2 linked regions of the Arabidopsis thaliana genome follow. The protein of the gene in region 2 interacts with the protein of the main gene of each other region in a pairwise test. Each region holds a gene or a part of one and is shown on either strand. Other genes may lie near its edges.

What was found. The genes of interacting proteins can lie anywhere in the genome.
Region 1: the proteins of AFO (region 2) and KAN interact in binary tests that used the Arabidopsis thaliana proteins (3 or more experiments, as listed by UniProt).

Annotation. Positions count from the first base shown.
Region 1 is NC_003076.8:5,406,358-5,413,672, forward strand, and holds KAN (Homeodomain-like superfamily protein), read right to left. Parts: upstream 5,410-7,315; 5' UTR 4,736-5,409; coding exon 4,006-4,735; intron 3,902-4,005; coding exon 3,825-3,901; intron 2,943-3,824; coding exon 2,897-2,942; intron 2,020-2,896; coding exon 1,872-2,019; intron 1,318-1,871; coding exon 1,209-1,317; intron 1,110-1,208; coding exon 1,008-1,109; 3' UTR 506-1,007; downstream 1-505. Other genes in the region: AT5G16550 (voltage-dependent L-type calcium channel subunit), read left to right, coding at 1-17, 127-284. UniProt on the Arabidopsis thaliana protein: Transcriptional repressor that regulates lateral organ polarity. Promotes lateral organ abaxial identity by repressing the adaxial regulator ASYMMETRIC LEAVES2 (AS2) in abaxial cells. Required for abaxial identity in both leaves and carpels.
Region 2 is NC_003071.7:18,627,719-18,632,679, forward strand, and holds AFO (Plant-specific transcription factor YABBY family protein), read right to left. Parts: upstream 3,062-4,961; 5' UTR 2,835-3,061; coding exon 2,721-2,834; intron 2,711-2,720; exon of another isoform or gene 2,600-2,710; coding exon 2,438-2,599; intron 2,344-2,437; coding exon 2,211-2,343; intron 1,636-2,210; coding exon 1,587-1,635; intron 1,497-1,586; coding exon 1,421-1,496; intron 1,003-1,420; coding exon 925-1,002; intron 810-924; coding exon 732-809; 3' UTR 534-731; downstream 1-533.

The sequences.
Region 1 (7,315 bases), on a different chromosome or scaffold from region 2:
TGTCTTAATAGCTTCAGGTTGGTTATATACTCTGCTCTGATTCTGTTTTGGAATCTTGTAATGAGTGACACTCCAAGTTACTTCCTATATGTATTGAAGAATGAAATGAATTTGGTATTGGATCAGGTTGGATTGGGTTTTTCTATGCGGTGTGGTTGGGAACAAGAGGAAGCCTACGCTTGGCTAAGCAATCGGTTTCAGTGGTGGGATCAGCCATTTCAGGTAACACTATCAGTCGTCATCAACACCAAGACCGGGAGGTAAACATCGAATCAACCAACTGAGAATCCGTCCTTACCGCGTTTGTAAATAAACCCCGACTTTTGGTTGTTAATGGAAGCTTGATATAAATATGATCTATGGAGTTTGTTGTGAAGAAGCAGAGAAAGAATGATAAGAATATTTCAAAATGCAACTTGAAACATTTTGTGATCAATGTCTACGGATTTTTGGATCTATGTATGCATACATTGTGTGTTTTATGTACTTAAGAAAGAATAATGATCAGTATCCATATGAAATCTCAACTCAGATCTCTCCCTCTCTCTACATTTCGGCTGCAAAAAAAAAAAAAAAAACTTGAAACCCTCTAGCCAACCAAGAGGCTTTCAAAAAAATATCCAAACTTTCACCACATTTTGATGATCTTCCAATTATATAACTTATGATCACACCACCAGATCAACCTCAAAAAACTAAAAACCCGAAAACCCAAAAACAAAAACTCATACATTGATCATCCACTTTATAATCAAATCATCAATGGAACTTGAGAAGAGGAACCTCCAAATTTCTTCATTTTGGTAGTGATATTCTCTCTCTCTGTGCAAAAATCAACACTCTTGAGCAGCTTGGCTCTCTACGTGTTCTCCTTCTTTTACGCTGAGAATTTCATCGTCACAAAGATATATACTGCATACATGTTTCTGAGTATATATAGAGAGAGAAAGATGAAACAAAAAAATAAAAAATCCAATATATATAAAAATCCAAATTGATCAAGAAAGTCATTTCTCGTGCCAATCTGGTCTGCCTAATGTAAACTCCAAACTTGGATTTTCACAACTAAGATTTCCACACCTCTTTGCTTGATCATTCGACCTTTGCTCCTGCCAATTTTAACTTTATATTAGATTAAAGGACAAAAAAAACACTAAGAAAGGCAATATCTATCTATACAAATATGATTAGATGGGAATTATCAGAACCTGATTTTGAATGCTGGATCTTTGATAATGAGAGATCATTGATGTTGATGAAGTTCTGATCATTGTATCTATGTCGCTTGAGCAGTTATTACTTAATGGCCATGTCTCTCTATTTTATGATTTAAGAAAAGAAAGAAAACAAATTAAGGACAAATTGTATTTATTGATGTATAGATGCCCTAAAAATAAAATAAAAATCACTACACACAAATTGCGTTTTTTTGCAACTTGCTATATGACCACAATCTACATGTCATACTTATGAAGCAAAATTCGTTTATCCTAGTCTTCCTAGATGAATCTTAAGAACCCAAACCAAATTATAATTAAAAAAAAAAACTTGGTACATATAATTAAAGTTCATCAGCCATAAACCCTAACCAATTTCATCTCATTGTAACCAAAACCATCACTCAAATTTTTTCCCCTTAAACTGAACGAAAACAAACTTAAAATATCATCTAAAAACTATTTTTGTTAGAAGAAAATGGATAGATGTGGGATAAACCAAACAATTGTCGTATGAATTACTTGGTAGGAAGTAGGAACAATTAGGTGAGAGAACCCTAAACCCTATCTCAAATTTCGTCAATCTTATTCTTACCTAATGTTTATATATACTTATCGTGTGTATAATACATGTACGTATATACGTAAACGTACCGTGAAGAGTTACTCCAACGAGGTTGTGTGGAAGAAATGTCAGTTTCTTGATGAAGAGAAGTATCATCAGATTGTGCCCTTTGATCCGTCGATGATTGATGATGAACTTCGTTTCCATTTATGCCCATTTCTTCTTCTCCTGACCCATCTGAAATTTTATTTTAACTTTTTATCAAGTTTCGTTGTCTCAAATCAATCACTTATACCCTATAAGGAATCTCATTTAAAACTGAACGATTCTTGTAAGCTTTTTTGTAAAAGACAATGCAGTGAAGAAATTGTTTTTCTTAAAAAATAATTTCAGCATTTCGTGTTGACCAACCTAATATGTGTCTCAAAAAATAGTTTTACAGACTCGAAAATTGTGCCAAATAAACTTTTAATTGGTTAAAGAAAATCCATATGAAACAAGTGGTTTTTCTTTATTCTTAATTCATGAACTTTGCTTGGATATGAGTTTACACTTCACACGTTTTAAATTTAATCTTTTACTCGATTTTTTTTTCTTAGAGAACATCAATATTGGGGATATATGTTTGTTTGGTTTGCTTTGAACTTTGACCACTCAACTTTAGGGTTCAATCAAAGGAAGGATAAAAGCCTTGAGCTTGACCAATATCTTAGGGCTCGTTTTTTATTATTTTGGGGAAAGGGAATAGTAGAAATAGTAGAATCAAATAGTAAAAATAACAGAAATAATTTCACGTCATTATATCTCTACATACATACAAATATCGAATCACAGCTTCAAATTCTGATTGAGAACTAATTTCTTATAAATATTGTAGTCAAAAAAAGCTATAATAGTGATTATATTGGACCTCCATTTCTATAAAATTCTGGTGGAGAATCCTAAGCTTTATTGTATATCTGTCTTATGTTATTTTTTGGTGAATTGTATATCTTTCTTATTAAAAGCCAGTACCATTTCTTTAGCATATATAAAGCTGAAAAAAGCTATACTAAAGAAATGTGAATATGCATAACATTATATGTGTGTGTGTGTGTAAAGGAATCACACGTACCTGATGAAGCAGCAGGCTTGTTAGTGGTCTTAACAGTTCGATACATCTGCAAAAAAAAAAAAATTAAAGGCATGATGAGAGCTCTAAAACTAGAATAAACCATAAATCCAATTAAAGACACAGGAAAAAACCAAAATAAATATCGGACAAAAGATACTGATAAACTAAATAGATTTATTTTTGTATAATGTGATACAGAATTACAGATGACAAACTGGAGAGATATATGCAGACACATATGAACTTTATATTATTAAATAAATAATATATGTAGTACATATGTGTGGTTTTCTGGGTTTGTCTTGGAACTGATGATGTATATATAATTAATTATTTATGATTTTAAGACCACGAGGTTGATGTCTGAAAGAAGGTTGAGTAATAGAAAGATTGTATTATTATCATTGAGTAATGATGACTACTTTTGTCCCCTCTTCCTAATTTAAAAAAGAAAAAATGAATTATAATCCAAAATAACTTCTATCTATCATCTCAATTCTCCATTGTTTAATAATTCTCTGAAAGGTTTCAGTCACTTAAAGCTATAACTACTCTCTCTTTTTCTCTCTTTAAATTCATTCAACTGCTTCAATTTTCTTGGCAATTGTGCCATCTCTTCCAAAATATGACTAAACTTAAAGCAAAGACAAAACAAGAAAATAAAAGTAACACATCAGAATTGGAGCTCTATTCATTGCTCTGATGATATATACGTACACAAAAACCTTGTTTCTTGATTCAGCTGTTTTTGTGCAAAACGCAAAGGAGAAGAGAGTGACATGATGGTGATGAAAACTATGAAATATCCCTAATTATAGAAAATCTTGATTGGTAACGAACTAACTCGACTAGATTAAACCTAAATTAACAAATAAAAATTGATTCTTTGTTGTGTCTAATTTAATTTCAAATAGAGTATAGATTATACCTGCAAATGGCTCTTCACATGTGCTAAAGTTAAGTCTTTTACATCCATGAGCTCAAGAACCGACTTTGGAGTTGCTCCTAGAATCACAACAACAACAAGAATAAAAGATTTAAGACTTTGAGAATAAAGTGAAGAAAAATGGGAATGATCATTAGAATGTGATTATGATATAAATGTGTACTTTCATGGCCGCCTAGAAGCTCAACAGCGTGAACAAACCGCGCGTGGAGGCTACTAGTCCAACGCATCCTTGGAGCTCTCATGCTTCGCTTTGTCGGCATCTTAGGCAAGAATCTTGATCTGATCATCCCATGATGATGATGGTTATGGTGATGAGGAGAAGACGAATCTGAAGATCCAACGACTCCATACTGATTATGATGATGATGATGATGCAAAGGAACACCTTTAAGCCTCGGGGAAGATTGTAATGATCGGTAAGCGTTGTTGTAGCCGGAAGATGAGTTTAAGATTGAGATTTGATCCATGTCTCCTCCTCCAAGAGAAGGTAATGAAGAGTTTTGTTGGTGGAAAGGGAATGAACGGTTGTGATAGACCGGGATGCCTCTAATTGGACGGTGGAGATTACTAATCTCGGATTCATCGACCCTTTGATGAACACCATTGATGATAGGGTTGTTGTAATGCTGCTGATGAGGAAGATTAAGGGTTCTTCGATCAGGACAATGGAAGATTCTTGCTGTTGGATGGTTATGATGAGATAAAGAGAGTTCAAAGTTGGACGATCGGTTGTTGTTTTCGAGTTGGGAGGATCTTCTTGAAGATTCTTTAGAAGATTCATTGTGATGGTATTGATGAATATCTGGGAGACTGATGTGGAGAGATAGATCAGGGAGAGTAGTTGTTGTGTTTGTTTTGGTTTTCTCTAGAAAAACACCTTCCATAGACATAATTAAAGAAACCTTTCTCTTGCTATTGCTGCCACTGAAGTTGTTGATGATGATAAGGATGATGATGGTGATGATGATGATGACTATTCTTTTGTTTTTTTTTTCTCCTGAGGGTTTTGCTTAGGAATTTAAAATGATTTTCTCTAAGGAGAAGAGAAAGCAGAGAGATTCTTTAGGCAAAGAAGTCAAAAGGGTGTCTGAAAGATTTGATATTTTTTTTGTTCTCTTTCTCTCTCTATATCTCAGAAAGAAAGGAGAAAGTGAGAGAGATGAAGTTAAAGAGAAGCTTAGAAGAAGAGAGAGAAGTTGAGTGATGATCTTCTTGAAGAAACAAACATGCTCAAAGTAAGACGCAGAGAGAGAGAAAAAGAAGGAAGAGAGAGATAGAGAGAGGTATGTGTGTTGTGAAGCAAAGGCAGAAGAGAAAAAAGGAATAAAACTAAATCCAGGAAAATTAAAAACAGGTAAGAGAGAGAGATATATGTGTGTTCGTTCATGTACATGTATGTGTATGTGTATGTGTGAGATGTTGTTCCTCGAGAGTATATCTTGGAAAACGATAGTTGAGAAAGGGTAATATTGTCATTCGCTATATTCCAAATATTGGAAGCTTTTTATTTTATTTTGGGATGGTATTTCAATTTGTCTTTTTCACCTTTCAACAAGTAAACCCATCTATCAATATAATATAAATTATTTTACGGCTAGATTAATTGATTTCATGTTTTAGTTTATTCGTTTAAACTACTGAAATTTTGATTTCCATAGATAAAGTTGAAGAATAATAGCAAAATAAATCTTGTTTTCTATCAATTTAGTAGATGAAATTTTCAAATGTAAAGTGTATTTAATAATCGACCAATTTCATAGATGAAAAGCATACAACTTTTAACAATAAAAATTAATACGATTATCATCCATTAAAACCTTAACAATTTGAGTAATAAATCAAAAACTCAATTGATCTTTAAAATAATAATGTTCACAGATTATCATGAAGAATAATAATTAAAAATGTTGGAGAAGAGTACAAGAGGAGAGAGAATAAAGGGTCGCTCTCTTCTGTCCTATCTAATCTATAGTCAAAGCAAAAGCCAAAATTAAATTAAATAAATAAATAACAAGAAGAAAAAAACAAACACAAGACCTATTCTAAAATAAATAAAAAGTTTCATTATAACCAAAAAAAAATAAAATAAAAAAAGAGAGAGTGCTTTGATTTTGGTACCCCGGAGACGACGGGATACATATGTTGAGACTTGAGAGAGAGAAAGAGACTGTGTCCTCTCTGACTCCTTTTTTATTTTCTCCCCCACTCTCTTCGCTTCTCACTTCACTCTCTATTCACATCTTATTATAATAATTCCTTATACGATTTTGGAATCAAACAAATTCAAGTTTCTGACCGTAGATTGTTCAACTATACCTAAAGAGATAAATATACATTAAATATCAGTACGTTCTTGAGTTTATGAATAGCTCGTATAGACATTTAGTTCCTAGAGATGTGACTACAATATCAACCGGCTACTTGTTTGACCGTTTTGTGTTGTCTATCAATTAGAGCCAAATCGAAGTCATATACATGTCGCTTTAAAATACGTACTTGAAAAGAAATAAAATTAGGCAGATTTATATATATTTTTGACTTGTTTGTGTCGAATGTAATAATGTATGCATTCTAGTGTTTCTGTTTTCTTTGTACTCGACATTTTTACATTCACATTGTTCGTTTATAATTCTACAAAAAAAATTATGGAGTTGACTTTATCTACTGTGAAACAGAAATATGTCATACTGAAAAATAATGAAAAATATACAAAATTGAATAGTATTTAACTATTCGTATGTTTTTGTCAAAGAATTATTATATTTTTTTATCCCACTTTTAATTTGGAATATATAAACTCTGTGTTTTGCCTTCCAAAGGTACGGAAATTATTGTCTTAGAAAGTATCTTTCTCTTCAAATACATACATATATGCATACGTGTGTACAATACAAGGTGCCCTCGTACGTATATAAACCAAGTGTCATATAAAGAATTCGATCAATTATTGTAACGTAACATGCATGCTTTTAGATTATACGTGAAGTTAAATATATATTAGACCTAAGAAAATACTCAGCCAGAAAGTGGATTTTGTTTGTTTCCCTTAATAAACAAAAACAAGTGAACCCTAAAGAACCTAAATATTTGCTTCTAATTCCCTTTTCATTCTCCCAAATATTCCTTCTCAATTTAATAACTCTTTTCTAATTTTCTTTAAATTGTCTTCTAAGAAAAAAAATAAACTATTCACTCCTCACATGACCATATCAATACAACATCTCGACAAATCATTAATGCCTTGAAATAAAAATATGATAAATTGTAAGACTATGTTTATATATCAGGAAATTTAAATAAGTGAGATTTTATTCGTTGATTATACAGTAATATATATTTTTCTTATTAGATATAAATTTTAATTATTGGAAAGTAAAGAAGTACAGTATGCTTGCAGTTTTTAGACGTTTTGCTGCATGTGAGTTAAACAAGATACTATTATGATCTATTTAAAAAGCATTTTCAATCAA
Region 2 (4,961 bases):
CACTTTTAGATTAGCTTATTGCTATCACTGAATTTTTGATCTTACGAAATAAATTTATCTTAACTTTTAATTTCCCTCTATTTTGACAACAATTGTCGTTTGATGCATGCCCCAGTTCTTATTTAATTATACCATATCACTATTATAAAACCATTAATGGGAGCAATAAGATTGAACCATATGCAACAATCTCAAGAATCAGATTTTGAATGGAGAAATTTGAACAGAATCACATCGTTTTACATGTTTTCGGGAAGCAAATGCTTGTGCATATTTCCATTCTTAGTTTAGTTTGAATTTTGAAATGTAATATGATCATTCCCCTCTTGTTTTCTCTTCGGTTAAATTTTTGTGATATATTCATTCTGGAGGAAAAAAAGCTTTGGATTAATTGGTGGTTGTAATTTCCTTTGAGTTTCTTTTACATATGGCGATGGTGTAAAAATCTATTAAAAAAGTCTGATTATTTAAATTTCAAATTCGGCTTTCAGTAATAATAAGAAAACATTTTGATAAGTTAATTAATTATACAACTACAAATGAAAATTAACTTAAGAAACCCCATTAATTAGCAAGATTTTTGATTACAACAACAGAAAAAGACACATGCATATTTATAATATATATAAATAAGTTCAAGAAAGGAAAAGAAACCACAACTTTTGGACATGATAAACCCTAAGAAATTGGATTTCAATTCCTCAAATACTTAGTCGATTATATTTATCTCTTTAATAAGGAGTCACACCAACGTTAGCAGCTGCAGGAGCGTAGAACCCTTCTTTCATCACCATGTTATCCTCTCCCTCCTACACACATGTTTAAGATATGATCCAAATCAATTGAAATTATATTTGTATATATGATATTACATAAAAGTATATGCATTAAAGATGTAAGGTATGTCGACAGATTAGGGTTTACCTGTTGGGGCATGTTGGTTTTCTTCACGGGTTGATTGTCTGGCACGAGCCCGAAGTGTATGTGGGGGAAGTGGGCCCACTGCATTACACATAAACAACATACGTACAAGACACATATCAACTTGTGTTATAACCCGACAAAATTCTTTACTCCTAATTTCAGCTATACCTACATATATGACTGTTTAATATATATACAACTAATACAAGAGCAACTATACGCATAGATAAAATCAAACCCTAGTTTCTGCCGGCAATCTAAACCAAGTTGTGATGTTAGTAGTATCAATGGCTTAAATTCTTTAGTAAAGGAAAACAAAGAATACTTAAAACGCATCACTTCTAACTAGAATTTTCAGCGTTTAAAAAAATAATTTTTTTATTGAACTAGAGATAAATATGGATTATCAAGGACTCTTTTGATTATTAAAATTTGATTCAACCAATGGATAACAGTTTAATATAAATTTTTGGGATGTGAGAAATAAGGTTCTTACATTCTTGGCAGCAGCACTAAAGGCTTCTCTGTGGCTTATATCAGGATTACCAGCTTTGATACGTTGGATCTCCTCCCTAAAATAAAAACGTGACAAGGAATTATATTAATGTTACACAGTTATGGTTAGAATATGAATGATTGTAAAAATTAAATAAGAGACTCACTTGATGAATCGGTTATATGCGGATGGGACTCTCTGTCTTTTCTCTGGAGCTGGCAATGGCGAAATTCAACGGCAAAGACAAAGCGAAAAAACAAAAACTCAGACAGAAAGAGACAAACACTCATTAAAACTACTTTCATTGTCTTTTTTCTCTCTCACACAAATACTTTCTCTCTCTAACCCATCATCACTTCATCATGTTTTTTTAAAGACAAGCCCATCTTCTAACATATTACATAGATTTTTTCTCTTTAGCTAGATTTCCGGGGGATCCATGAATCTATCTCCCCGTTTCTTTTATCGTCACTATTTTAATGTTTACCAACGCTAAAAGCCATCTAGGATATGTAGACAATCAACACATACTAAAGTTCATGGATCAATGAATATTTTAAATATACAAAATCATAATCTCTCATGTCTCCTTCTAGTATACAAAGAAAAGAAAGGTAAAAAATCTCCTTCTAGACTTAATTCAATGGTGCTAGGGTTTGAACGAGATCCAGTGAAAGTTAAATAAGAAAAGCTATGCATGTCTTAATGGCGATTCATCATCACAACCAAATTATAAACACGGTTAGCATAGAAGTTAATATCATAAAAGTGAGAAGAATTAGTATCTTACGGCGGTTAACGGGTGGTGCTTTAGGAATCTCATGTTGTTGATGAAGATCCATGAAAGATGGTATGTCATTCATAGTAGGATGTTGATTCATCATCATCATATTCATGTTAGACGGTGCATCTCTCAGCTCCTCCTACAATAATATTTATATCCTTGAGGCTTGAGATTACTTCCAATAAGCTAAATGAGACCCTATAAGATTATGTATTTGAATTTTGTTTAAGTACCAGAATATCCTGGGGATTGAAGTAAGAGTGAGGACCGAGCTGGAGCTGGAGCTGGTTAGAAGCTGGGAGGACATATGATCTCATGTTCACCGAAAGGAGATTGGTACAGCAACCACATCGGACAGTTACGGTCTTGAACAAGCTTGTGTAAGGAACATTAACCTATAAGCACACAAAAGAAACAATGAATTTAAAAAACCCCTAATCTTGTATAGATCAAGAAGATGAGAAGTTGGAGGAGAAAAAATGAGAGAGAAAGTATTGAAGAGAGGTTATTTTGTACCGCAAGGATGGTTTGGCAAAAGTTGCATTGGACATAGCAGAGATGGTCGGAAGGAGAGAAGTGGTCCGGTGAACAAACAGCTGAGGAAGGGGAGGACATAGACGACATAGACATCTTTTTTGTAAGAAGGGGAAAAATATTGGAAGCTGATCTTTTTTTGGGAGTGTTTGGGGATTTGATTGATTGATGGGTATTTGACTGATCAGAGGATTCTTGATAAGGAGAAAATAAAAAACCCCACCATGATCTGATCTTCTTGATTGTTGGGTTGCTGTGTATTATATACCACAAAGGAAGATATATAGAGAGAGAAGAGGTGAAAGGAGTGAGAAGGGAAAGGGGATATTAATATATTAGAGGGTAAAAATTAAACAACAAATGCTCTAATTGTAGCCTCTAGGTCGTCTACTATTAATTTCGTTAATTAATTCGGTAATACTGTGTGTATATATATAATGTGGTGTATTATACATTTCAATTCAGCGATACATATATTCTTTAAAGAAATTCTCCAATGGGTTATATACAATTTTAGGTTTTGAATAGTATAACAGAGTCAGCGGTAGTGAACCAGCAACATAAATGGAATAAGTTTGGATGGTGTAGAACAGATAACACAAACCAAATAAAAATAAATATGCCGGTGTTTAATAAGACAATAACTATTTATATAATTTTTCATTAAATCAAGTGGCCGAATAAAATTTATGATCGATAAAATAAACATACATTAGTTTTTTTAATAAGTTTCGGAACTACACCCTAAACACCATTTGAATAAGCAGTTCATTTTTTTCACAAACAGTTTTTTTTATACCTTTTCCGTATATTCTTATAAATTGTATTGCCACATAACAATTGAATTGTACCACCACTATACCGCACTCTTTGTTTTTATTTATCACAAAATGCATAATCTTGACAAGTGGATCCAGATATTAAACAAATGTTAAATTACTTTGAACATAATATTAATTGACAAAAGAATTGGACAATTTCTTTACAAATATCACTTCTTTTTTTTTGATAAAAATATACATCTCACTTAGATCTTTTTTAATTTTTAATTAGTCAAATGATGCGAGTTATTATTAAATCTTTGTTGTCAACATCCAATATAAGATTTCTTTTTGATAATGCCTATATTAGAAATTCGGTTGACCATGCGGTCTCACCCTTACTAGAAAACGTAGACATTAAGCATCTATACCGTTGTACCTCTAAGATGACCTTGTGGTCACAAGGAGACAAGACTGATGACAAAATAGTTTTGAGGATATTATCGCTTAAAGATGGACCTTTTTCTATCTGATCTCAAACAATTACAAACCTAATTTTGCAATCAATTAAATTTTGGTCTATACAATTAAAAGCACATGTTAATATATGAAAATAGCTATAGGCATTTATGTTTCTATATAAATAGAACAAGAAATTCTAACTAAAGAATCAAATTTATAGCTACTATACAAAACTTTCGACAAAAATATGAGATTGGATCAATATAGCGATGACCACTAAACTACAAACCACTTCATGATCAATTTTGAAATCTTAGGAAGAAGATATTGTAGTACTAGTATGAACAAGGGAAGATTGAGGCATACATTAGAAGATTCGCGAGCTTAGGCTTTGGGGTTGGGGTTGCACGTGATGACACATGTAATGTGTTTGCAAGTAAGTTAAGAAACGACGAAGCTCTTGAAAAAAAATTTAAGTGAAAAAAGTTTTAAAGCTTTGACAATAGAATTCGCAGTTCCCAATGGAGGAAGAGAAGAGAGGAGAGAGAGAGGGCGGCAGAGGTGGGGGGAAGAAAGGGACGTGTGCATGGGAGTGATTAAGCGTCGCCTCATTCACCCGTTGTTGTCATTCCTTAATTACCACTGCCATTACTTTTTCTCGTTTCTCTATACAATTCCTTTCCTATTTTTTTAATTTTTTTTTTAATTATTAGTATTTAATTTCAATTGAAACATACTTTGTTTTGTTTGTTTGTATCATGTATGTATATGTAGAGATAAACATGATGCTCCATTTTTATTGATTGGTTATCATTAGCTTTTTAGTCAATTATATGATTGTTTTTTCCCCCTCCATTTGAATATTTGGAATCATCCAAGTCTAGACTTTCCATGAAAGCGAAAGTAAATTAATTCTATTTTTGTAGTTAAAATTTCCGAGTTAACCGGCTGCTTATCAATATACTAGTTTTATATTTCCGTTTAACTTAAATCGTTATTT